Oryctolagus cuniculus: one gene and its partners. The protein of the gene in region 2 interacts with the protein of the main gene of each other region in a biochemical or structural test. Links are inferred from orthologs where the notes say so. Each region holds a gene or a part of one and is shown on either strand. Other genes may lie near its edges.

What was found.
Region 1: the proteins of ATM (region 2) and RPA1 form a complex in vitro, tested with the Homo sapiens proteins (3 studies listed by BioGRID, with this or other methods). The link is inferred for Oryctolagus cuniculus from reciprocal best matches to the Homo sapiens genes ATM and RPA1.
Region 3: of the proteins of ATM (region 2) and CREB1, one has a biochemical effect on the other in vitro, tested with the Homo sapiens proteins (2 studies listed by BioGRID). The link is inferred for Oryctolagus cuniculus from reciprocal best matches to the Homo sapiens genes ATM and CREB1.

Annotation. Positions count from the first base shown.
Region 1 is NC_091448.1:47,342,955-47,346,703, reverse strand, and holds the start of RPA1 (replication protein A 70 kDa DNA-binding subunit), read right to left. Parts: upstream 2,539-3,749; 5' UTR 2,387-2,538; coding exon 2,354-2,386; intron 1-2,353. UniProt on the Homo sapiens protein: As part of the heterotrimeric replication protein A complex (RPA/RP-A), binds and stabilizes single-stranded DNA intermediates that form during DNA replication or upon DNA stress.
Region 2 is NC_091432.1:99,975,604-99,979,352, reverse strand, and holds the start of ATM (serine-protein kinase ATM), read right to left. Parts: upstream 2,279-3,749; 5' UTR 1,547-2,278; intron 1-1,546. Other genes in the region: protein NPAT, read left to right, coding at 2,631-2,667.
Region 3 is NC_091434.1:32,233,804-32,237,452, forward strand, and holds part of CREB1 (cyclic AMP-responsive element-binding protein 1), read right to left. Parts: intron 3,005-3,649; coding exon 2,858-3,004; intron 2,133-2,857; coding exon 2,091-2,132; intron 1-2,090.

The DNA of each region.
Region 1 (3,749 bases), on a different chromosome or scaffold from region 2:
CTATCCTTCTTTCCGCTGTCTTAATCATTCACGCAGCTAGCAAACATTTGCCAGGCACCTACAACTCGTCAGCTCTGCTCCAGGTACTGGGGACACTGTGGGAACCAAAAACAACCCAGCATGACTGCAGGCCCCATGGAATTTACAACCTACTGGAGGAGACAGACCGTAACTGACATTAATCAATAAGCAATTAATCAATAAGCAATCAATGTAAAATTACACGTGTGACTATTAATCCCAGGTAACATATACTGAGCATTTACTATGTAACAGGCAATGAGCTAAACACTTAAATGTATTAACACACTTTCTTACTTTATGCAAAAGGTACTAGGCATCATCACCCTGATATTACAGAAGGAAAACAGTCCAGTGTTCTGCCCAAAGTCACAGATCTAACAAGGGAACACACAGGAATTACAGTCCCAAAATAAAATAATTTAGCCTAGTAAGTGAAGTCAAAGAAGACTTCCCCCAAAAGTAACTACTGAGCTTAAGATTTGAAAATTATGTTAGCCCATGAGGGAGGAGTGAAGAACCCAGGCAGAAGGAAAAGAATGTTCAAAAGCCCCACGTAAGGGTCCGGCGCTGTGATGCAGTGGGCCTGAAGCGCCAGCATCCCATATGGGCGCTGGTTCTAGTCTCGGCTGCTCCTCTTCCAATCCAGCTCTTTGCTATGGCCTGGGAAAGCAGTAGAAGATGGCCAAAGTCCTTGAGCCCCTGCACCCACGTGGGAGACCTGGAAGAAGCTCCTGGATCCTGGCTTCGGATGGGCGCAGCTCCAACCTTTGCGGCCATCTGGGGAGTGAACCATCGGACTGAAGACCTCTCTGTCTCTCTGTGTAACTCTGACTTTCAAATAAATAAATCTTTAAAAAAAAAAGAGCCCCGCGTAAGGCAAGAGTATGCAATGTATCAGGAATTTAAAGGTTTTTTTTTTTAAGGCTATAGAAGAGAGTAAAAGAATAGTGGGAAGAGGGTAGTCAAGCCAAGAAATGAAGGTGCCAGTATAGATGGGAAGAAGTGGATGGATTTAAAAGATCTACGTGGGGAGCCCGGGTTGTGGCACAGTGGGGTTAAGCCTCTAGCTGACATCCAGATGAGCATTGATTCAAGCCCTGGCTGCTCCTCTTCCAATCCAGCTCCCTGCTAATGCGCTCGAGAAAGCGGCAACGGATGGCCCAGGTGCTGGGCCCCGGCCACCCACACGGGAAATCCGCACAGAGTTCCAGGCTCCTGGCTCCAGGATGTTGGAAAGTGAAGGAGCAGATGGAAGAGCTCTCTCTCCTTTTCCTTCTCCAACTCTGCCTTTCACATACAAGAAATATTTAAAAAGAAACAAACAGGGTTGGTGCTGTAGCACAATGGGCTAAGCCTCTGCCTGCAGTGCCAGCATCCCACAGGGGTGGAGGTTCGAATCCCAGCTGCTCCACTTCCGATCCAGCTCTGTTATGGCCTGGGAAATCATAGAAAGTGGCCCAAGTGCTTGGGCCCCTGCACCCACGCGGGAGACCTGGAAGAAGGTCCTGGCTCCTGGCTTCGAATCGGCCCAGTTCCAGCCACGGCGGCCACTTGGGGAGTGAACAAGAGGATGCAGGATCTCTCTCTTTGCCTCTGTCTCTCTGTAACTCTGCCTTTCAAATAAGTCAATAAATCTTAACCAAAAATAAATAAAGGATCTATGCTAAGGTAAAATACGCTCCACTTGGTGCTGGACTGGACGTGTGAACTGTTTCTGGCTGGGTAACATCCGGAGACCCAGACTTGGGAAGATAAAGGATCTGCTCCGGGCAGATGGCATTTAAGATGCCTTTGATACACTAGGTAGACGGATGAGTACAGAAGTCTTTTCGAGTAAAGGGGGCTTGGCACGGAGAAACCTGTTAACTGACTTCTGGATGGTAATGAAGTTGCCAGGGGTGGAGGGGGAGGAGCCAGGGGATCAAAAGCAAGACTAGGCAAGCTGAGCCAGAGGCCAAAGGCAGAGGTGATCAACAGGCCCCAGCGCCGCGGGGACCAGGCTGACCCACGGCAGGTGCCGCGAGGCGAGGACACAGAGTAACTGGAAACAGACGACTCTCGAGAAGTTTGGGGGGATGGGGGAAGGGCGGCCGGCGAGGGAGATGCGAACAAAGTACACGTCTGTTTTCTTGGCAGAAAAACGTTGAGCGTGTGTAACGAACACTGGAAGGCTCCCGCGACAAGAGGGCGCCGATCAGCGCGGGGTAAACCCCCGCGGCTCCCCCGCCATCTGCTTCTCCTGCGTTGTCCCGCCCACCGCCCTGGCTCCCCTCCTCCGTCCCCGCTCCGCACGGCTGCGCGCCCACGACCGCTCCCAGCCTCTCCTCACCGCAATGGCCCCCTCACTCAGGTGGCCGACCATGGCTCCGCCGCGCCAACTGCCGCGCTCGGGGTTCGCAGCAGCCCTGCCTTCACTACCGGGGTCCCGCGGGCTGCACGGCAATTGGCCAGAGGAATTGCGCGCGCCACTCCCGCCCACGACGTGCGCGCGGCCTAGGGAGGGGCTTAGGGCCCGAGCAGACTGCGCATTGGCCGAGACGGCGCACGTGACCTGGCGGAGGCCGGGTTCGAGGCCTAGTGGCGGGCTGGCGGGGCCTGGGGGCGGAGCGCCGCGACGCGGGGCGCGCCGGGTGTCGCGCGCGTGCGGCGGAGCGTGCCGACGACCCAGCTACGCGAGCTCGGCCTGGGCACCTGCGAGAACGCCCGACCGGGAGTTTGGCGCGCGGTCAGCCTGGCAAGCCAGAGCCGAACCAGAGCTGCCCCCCCCCCCCTTATAATTACGGCTAAATAGGCTCAAGGCAGCGACTGGATTCCTTAAGCCCTGAACCGTGGCATCCAGGGGCCCTCTGAAGGTAAATAAGATTCAGTTCCCGCAAGTCACAGAAGAGGACTTGCCCAACTCAGGAGATCGGGGAGGCTTCCCAAAGAAGGTGCCGTTTGAATCGAGGAGAAGGTTTTGTAGGAAGTTGCTAGGTGGACTCCAGATAAGAGTGCCTGTGCCTGTGCCTGTGCCTGTGCCAAAACCCTGCGGAGGTGGAATCGCCTGGCATGCTGGGATAGCAGAGTAGATAGAGGAAGAAGCGGGGTTTGAGTTAGAAAGCCGTGGACTTCCCTGTGTGCTAGCATTCAGGAGCATTCGTGAATTCAAGTCAGAGGACTGTCACCTGTCCCGGTGCAGGATGGCCTGAAGGTGTGGAGCCACTCTGACGCTCTGACGCTCTGGAAAGAATGCCACGCCAGGGTTGGTGAGGTCTTGGACTGCAGGGAGCTGCGGACTGAAACAGAAAACTGGACCTAGAGAGAGACGGTTGTAGTCGCAAGGGTCAGTGAGAGGGGAGAACCTGGGTGTCTCTCAGGAGTCCCACCTGGATGGCGAAGGTCTCAGAGGGGCCTGAGGGCAGCTCTCTGCAGTCATCAGACTTGTTTTCTTTTCTTTCTTTCTTTCTTTCTTTTTTTTTTTTTTTTTTTTTTGACAGGCAGAGTAGAGAGACAGAGAGAAAGGTCTTCCTTTTGCCGTTGGTTCACCCTCCAATGGCCGCCACGGCTGGCACGCTGCGGCCGGCGCACTGCGCTGATCCGAAGGCAGGAACCAGGTACTTATCCTGGTCTCCCATGGGGTGCAGGGCCCAAGCACTTGGGCCATCCTCCACTGCCTTCCCGGGCCACAGCAGAGAGCTGGCATGGAAGAGGGGCACCTGGGACAGAATCCGGCACCCCGACCGGGA
Region 2 (3,749 bases):
AAAAAAAAAAAAAAAAAACCTGAAGAATACGAAGAATACTCTGAAATAAAAGGGTTTTGGGAGCAATTACAGAAACTAGCCAGAAAAAAGGAGTGGTCTAGAAGCTCCTGTAACCACCAGCAGAGAGCTGTCTGAAAGGTTTTTTTGCTGGATCTAAAAAACCAAAATATTTTATACTCAAAGTTTGGGAAAAAGAAAGTATAAACTGTTTATAATGAGCCTATATAGAGAAGAGTGGCAGTACAACTAAAAGGCAGGAAGGCAGTCTCTAAGTATTTAGCTATTCCTAATCAGTTGGGATTGCCTTGATGGCCTTGGAGTTAAAATTTCAACATGCATTCAGGACATCGAGCAGTTTTTTTTTGTTTTGATTGGCCAAAACTGGTAGCTGACTAACTTCTCTCTCCTCTCCACTCTCTAGCTGTGTAATTAAATTTAGGACATCTTAGAATACTTGCTTTCATCTTTGCCTCAAAGAAAGCAATACTTAAACAATAATAGAAAGAAACTAATACTTAAACAATAATAGAAAAAACCAGTAGAGAGGACCATTTTAGATAAATTATAAGGAAACATCTCAAAGGAAGGTATAAAAAGAAAGTCAAGATCTGAATAAACCAGTGCCAATCATATAAAGAGCTGAAGAACTGACATTTGAGGGAAGTAATCTTGCACAACGCCAGGGCACTAAGATGGAAAAGAGTATGTTAGGTTGGAGGAGGTGGAGACGAGCCAGTCAGAGTAAAAGTATCACCAGATAAAGACAAACCCCACTTATACATTAATCCAGACTACCTACGATTCATTCATATTCCACAGAAACAACACAAATTTCCTAAATAACAGGCTCTGCACCGGCGCATTCAATATTCGTTGTTATTAACCAGCTTAATCCCTTTGCAGAACGTTGACAATGATGCCCATTCCATCCTCCTAGAAATAACTTTGTCCTTGGCATGCAATTCTTGGCTCTGTAGTCAATGTGTATTAATCCAGCCAGAGCAAGTTAGCTCATGTGTCCAAACCTTAATGATAAAAACAATACTAGCATCTACCCCAAAAACTTGTTGTAAGCATGCAGGTGCATGTTTAGCAAAGCACCTGGAACACAGCCAGTCACCACGTTAACAGTTATCAGAATGAATTCCCTTCCTTTATGATTGCTCCATAAGTCTCTTTCGATATTTCTTCCCTTCCCACTTCAAGCAGCATCCTTATCTCCTTGGTCTCATTCATTCCTGTGACCTAAACATACTGAAAACTCCCCGAACCTATTTCTTTCAATACTAGATCTCACCCCTGATCTTCAAGAACCTTCTACCATGTGCCTTTTACAGGTAAGTTTCTTTCTGTTTGGAAAGTTCCTACTATCCCCTAAGGCAGTTTAGATACTGCAAGGGCTCCCGGCAAACTAAAGTGTTTCTTCCAGGCCGAGTTTCCACAGGACCTGTAACTGCTCTTCTAGAACATTATCCACCTTGCAGTGTAGTTAATTATCTGCACCTGGGAAAACAGCTCTGCAGGGCTCACCACAGGGAAGGATTACCTCACGTAATTTTCCAAGGAAGATGTCAAACAGCTGGCAGAATTCGAACTCGGTACTGTGATTCCAGAACCTACATTCTTAACCACGAGGCTATAGTTAAAATCTCACTAAATGCTCGCTAACTAAAAGTACCAATTATGACACGAGGTTAAAAAAAAAAAAAAAAGGTAACTACTCCAATCGCCTAGTTGAATCTGAACCCTAAGGGCACGGGAGAAGCAGACGCGGAGAAAGGAGAACTCAATTCAGAAGACTTAAAAGGAAGTTCAAGGATAACGCCGCAGGGGGCTCGGAGGGAGTGCGGTGAGTAGCCGCAGCAGCAGCGAGAATAACGAGGGAGAGAGCGCTCACGGGCCGCTCTGAAAGAGCGCGTGGGATTAGGAGTCGGGGGAAAAGGACAGACTGGGTCCAATACGACTCAGTTCTGTAAATACACAAGTCACTGCGTGGCTCCGCACCCCTACCGCTAGACTCTGACGGCCCAGGCAGTGCCGGCGGCGGCTTGCAGCACGGATCCCCCAGCTCCTCTCGCCACCTCCGGTTGCCACAGCTTCCACACTCCGTTATCCCCGCAGCTTTCCCCGCTTCCGGTTCAAACGCCGCGTGAACTCGCAGCGTCCTCTCGGAAGAAAGCGCTAACAGGCCACAGAGCACACTCTGCTCATGCGCACAAGTATCACGCGCTTTCCGTCGCCCAACACTGCGCACCCCCAAAACATTCTGCTCGTCTGCGGAAACGCGCCTGCGCGCTGCCCACCAATGGCTAGCGACTCTGTGTCAGTCGCCCGCCCTCTGGCTGCTGCTCCGGCGCTCGCACCCCGCCCCTTCACGCTCTCCGGCCCCACCCCTCCAACTCTGAGGGCGGAAGTGACGGCAGTTCCAAGGAGAACGGAGGCGGGTTTCATTTCGGCGCCTTTCTTTCTCTGGCGGAAGCCATTGGCTGCCGTGGAGCGAAAGAGGCGGGACAAATTGCCGCGGGTTCAGTGCCGCCACTGGAACCGGGAGATGCGGCGTAGGAGCTGTCGCTGTGTTTCTCTGTACCTGCGTCTCGTCTCTTATTGTGGTTCGTTCTGCGGCGTCGATCATGCTGTTACCCTCGGACGTTGCCCGGCTAGTATTGGGTAAGCGCGGACGCTGGCGGGAGGGTTACTGGGCCAGGCAGAGAAGGAGGGAAGGCGCTTCGGAGCTAAAGCCTTTCTCTTGGTGGGGCAGCCTTGGGGTTTTGCTTCCCCGCTTGCAAGTTCGGACTGGCTGTGATTTTCCGTCGCTCGCTGGCCCTGGTCGCGTACGCCTCGTTGTGTGTGGATGCTCTCCTGCTCGGGCTGTTTGTCTAGGGGAGAGCCGGAGAGAAGCTCGGAGGGCAACACCTGAGGCCCGGATTCGGAGGGAAAGTCAGGCCTGCACACTTCACTGGGACCCCTGAAAGAGAGTTGTCTACGTGACGGGGCGGACTTCGTCGTCTTCAACCTTGCGCGTACTTTCCCTTGTCAGAGCTGAGACCAAAATAGGACAAATAAGGACTTCCCGGCCACCCAGCTTTGTAGAAAGACCTTCGTGACGTCTTTCTCATAACCCTTAGAACTCCGGATTTGGGACGAGTGGGGGTGGTCCTCCTCCTCCATCCTCCCGGCAGGACGTCCTCCCGTGTAGAGGGTTGAAATGCCAATTGCAAATTTGAAAGCAGCTGCAATTCCTATTGCTTTGATGAGCGAACAGTTACGGAAGGGAAGTGCCTTCCAGCTGAACGTTTTCTCGCCCTAGTTAGCTTTTCCTCCATTTGTGCCACTTGTCTGTCAGGGTGTATTGTCTGTGTGGGAGACGGTTTTTTTGTTATTGTTTGTCCCTTCAAAGAATAAAGAAGATTGTACTGCTAGCAACGAGAGCCACTTAAGCTCAAAAACGGGGCCAATGATTTAGATACCTGACATCTCTAAAAGTAAATGGTATACATCTGTGATCATCGTCCCGTACTGTCCACAACCAGTACTACCATTATTTTATTGTTTGGAAACCTCATTTGTCTTCTTTAAAAGTACTCCACCCTGTGGCCTAAAAATGGTGTTTGTGTAGGGCTCTTGATAAGAATATTTTGCAGGAAACATTAGGCGGAAATGGTTCCACCATCCACTTTTGGGAAAACGAATGATTGAAGTTTAATATTTTGTTAATGTTTGGTTAATCTTTGCTCACGTTATCAGAATTG
Region 3 (3,649 bases), on a different chromosome or scaffold from region 2:
ATTTCAGGAATGACCCAGTGGATAGAAGATCTCTCCTTCTCTCTTAGTCTCTGCCTCTCCCTCTGTCATTCTGCCTTTCAAATAAATAAATCTTAAAAAAATAGTATATCTGTAAAATCCAGGCTTTAAGAAGCCCAACTTTTCTTTTGCAAGCACACACACTTTAAATTAAATAGTTCACTTTAATGGAAATATGTATTGTTGTAAAGATGAATCCATATTTCTAGAAAGTTAATGATTATATAATCCCTAGGTCCACATTAGGCTGCCCCTATAAAGATTAAAATAAAGAATACAATCAACAGTTAAATATCACATAATATAACCAAAAATTACAATCTTAGACTGGGTCTGGCGTGTAGGTTGCCTGACTAGTAAGCCTAATTCTTTCCATTATTATCTATAGGAGGATATGGGTGGGGAATTAGCATAGCACAATATGGAGAATTAGATAAGGTAGCATTCAATGAAATAAAAACTGAGAAAAAGAAATACTGCTCAGTCACTGTGATTCCACAGAAATATCAACTTCATAGTTCTTCACTTGGTCAACACTGTATCCTACTTGTTAAAAAATTCCAACCCCAATATCTTATGGAAATTCATACATGATTCAAGATTTCACATGAAAACATTATTTCTTTTTCCCACTTAAGCAAACCAAAAGCATAAGAACAGAATGAAATATAGGTGGTAACAGCTGCTCAATGATTCAATAGTATAAAATGATTGACAAAACCTAGTATTTTTTTTTTTTTTTTGACAGGCAGAGTGGACAGTGAGAGAGAGACAGAGAGAAAGGTCTTCCTTTTGCCGTTGGTTCACCCTCCAATGGCCACCGCGGCCAGCGCGCTGCGGCTGGCGCACCGCGCTGAGCCGATGGCAGGAGCCAGGAGCCAGGAGCTTTTTCCTGGTCTCCCATGGGGTGCAGGGCCCAAGCACTTGGACCATCCTCCACTGCACTCCCTGGCCACAGCAGAGAGCTGGCCTGGAAGAGGGGCAACCGGGACAGAATCCGGCGCCCTAACTGGGACTAGAACCCGGTGTGCCGGCGCCGCTAGGCGGAGGATTAGCCTAGTGAGCCGCGGCGCCGGCCAAAACCTAGTATGTTTTTGATGATATTAACAGGATGCTTCCAGGACAAAGTAGGCACTCCTGCCCCTCTATGAATATTAATCAGTTCTGGCTACCATATGCACAGAAAACAAAACTGCTCTCATCCAGAAGAAAACAACCAGGATGCTGAAGAGAAATCAAAACTACACCATGTAATAAATGGCTGAAGAAAAATATGAGTTTGTTAAGTTGAAGTTTTCTTTTTAAAAAAAGTTTATTGAAAGTAAAGAGAGAGCAAGAACGAGGGAGACAGAGAAGGAGAGACAGAGAGATCTATTTGCTGGTTCAGCAAATGCCTGCAATAGCCAGCCTTGGGACAGGCTGAAGCCAGAAGCTTGCAATTTCCATCTGGGTCTCTCATGGGAGGCAGGGACTCAAGTACTCAAGCTGTCTCTCACAGTGTGCTTTAGCAGGATGCTGGACTGGAAGTGGAGCAGCCAGGACTTGATACCAGGCACTCCAAAATGGATGCAAGTGTCCCAAGGGGCAGCTTTACCTGTTGTGCCAGATGACCACCCCTGGCAATTTCTTAAAAATATAGTTTCTGAGAGATGTGACTGAGGAAATCAGTCAACAGAAAAAGAATTAAGATTTGCCATTCAGTTCAACGCAAGGATAAAACTGCAAGCACTAGGCAAGTTGTATAAAGCTATATTCTTTCACGACTGAAAAGAGTATTTTGGCAATTTCATCCTTAATTATAGGTAGGTTACTCAGGATATAGAACTTCCTTTCTCTGAGAGTATTCAAGTAAAGTTGGGCTATCGTTTGGAAGACAGGAAAAATATTATATACAGAAATTTTTATTTCTAAGGGTCAGGTAGGCAACAAGTTTGGTCTAGACCTAGAAATGTCTACCATTAAACAAAACCTTCAAATTCCATTATTTATAGAGGAGGAAAAAAACAAAAATAATAATTTCTCACCTTCCTTTCTAATAATAGTTCTCTTCAAATCTACGACCTAGGACTCACCTGTGTTCCGGAGAAAAGTCTTTTTAAGTCCTTACAGGAAGACTGTGAAGTAAAAAATATGAAATGGGAGGCTGGGGTTATGGCCTACTTGAATGAATGTTCAAGTCTTTCTTTCAATAAGCTCAATCGCAAGATCTACACCGCTTCTTGGTTCCCTACAGTTAAGTAGTGCAGTCACCTTCAGTGGTCTACAGTGCCTTTACTAATCTTTGGAATCCAACCCAAAGGAACAATATCCTCAAAGAATAAGACATTCATAGTATAATCCCTGACCCTTAAGATAAACTTTCTGAACACATTATTTCAAAATTATATGCTCTCATGGTAAACCCTAAACACAGCCCATTTTATGAATGCTTATGTGATCCCTTCAAGTTCAAAAATCTCAGGTAAGGTTATTAAATTTTGATCAAGGTTTATTTTTCTCCAACTGCAGGTTCAGAAAATAATTACAAGTTATTACTTCTGTATTTCAATTTTCCCTGAGGCAATCAGCCTTATACAGTCTCCCAAATCTTCCACTTCATCTCATGTACTTTTTTTGCCAATTATTCTCCTTCTATGACTTAATTTTCTTTCATGTCTGTTTTATACATATCCATTCCTTTACACAAGGTGACTATACAGACGCAGCCCATTTGTTTACCATATGAAGTAAAATTAACTCCAAACTAGATGTGTCCTTATTTTCAAAAGTAATGAAAGGAGAGGGATATGCCTATGAATAATAGACACAAAAGTGGATACAGAACTTTTTATACACATACCTGAACTGTTTGGACTTGTGGAGACTGAATAACTGATGGCTGGGCCGCCTGAATAACTCCATGGACTTGAACTGTCTGCCCATTGGGCAGTTGTACTAATGTTACAGTGGGAGCAGATGATGTTGCATGAGCTGCTGGCATAGATACCTATAATGTTGAACATGGAAAAAAATTACTATCACAGATACCTCCTTGGGACTACTCATGTTCAATATGAAGTAACATTTTAGAGGCAAAAATACTGATAGGAAATAAACTAAACATGCAATTTATCATTGTTTAAAAACAAAACCTGTAAGTCTCCCATTCTACTTTTCAACTCCTCCCAAATGACAAAAAAGTTATTGTAATGTAATGTAATGTAATATAATGTAATGTCAAAACATGTAACACAGATTTCCTCTTAATACTAAGCACCGGTTTATTTGTATAGTGCTTTAGATTTTCCCAACTGCTTTAATATCCCCATTTCTCTTGTTGTTCATCAAAGAAATTGAAGACTGGGTAATAAGGATTATCCCCATTTTAAAGACAAAAAATAACTGCTCAAAGAGATTAAGTAATGTACCCAAAGTCAAGCAGATACACTAGCCTTGAAGAAACAGTCTGTGGTATATGTGTTAAATAGCTATGTTCTAAATTCTAATTGTTTTCAAGCTTGGACAAATTAATGTAAAGTAAGTCCAGAACAAATATACATCTTACAATATGGCATAGCTTTCATTAGTGAGAACATAGTAACAAGTTTTATAAACTGTAAATCTCTATTCCTCTCCTCCTCAAAATCAACTA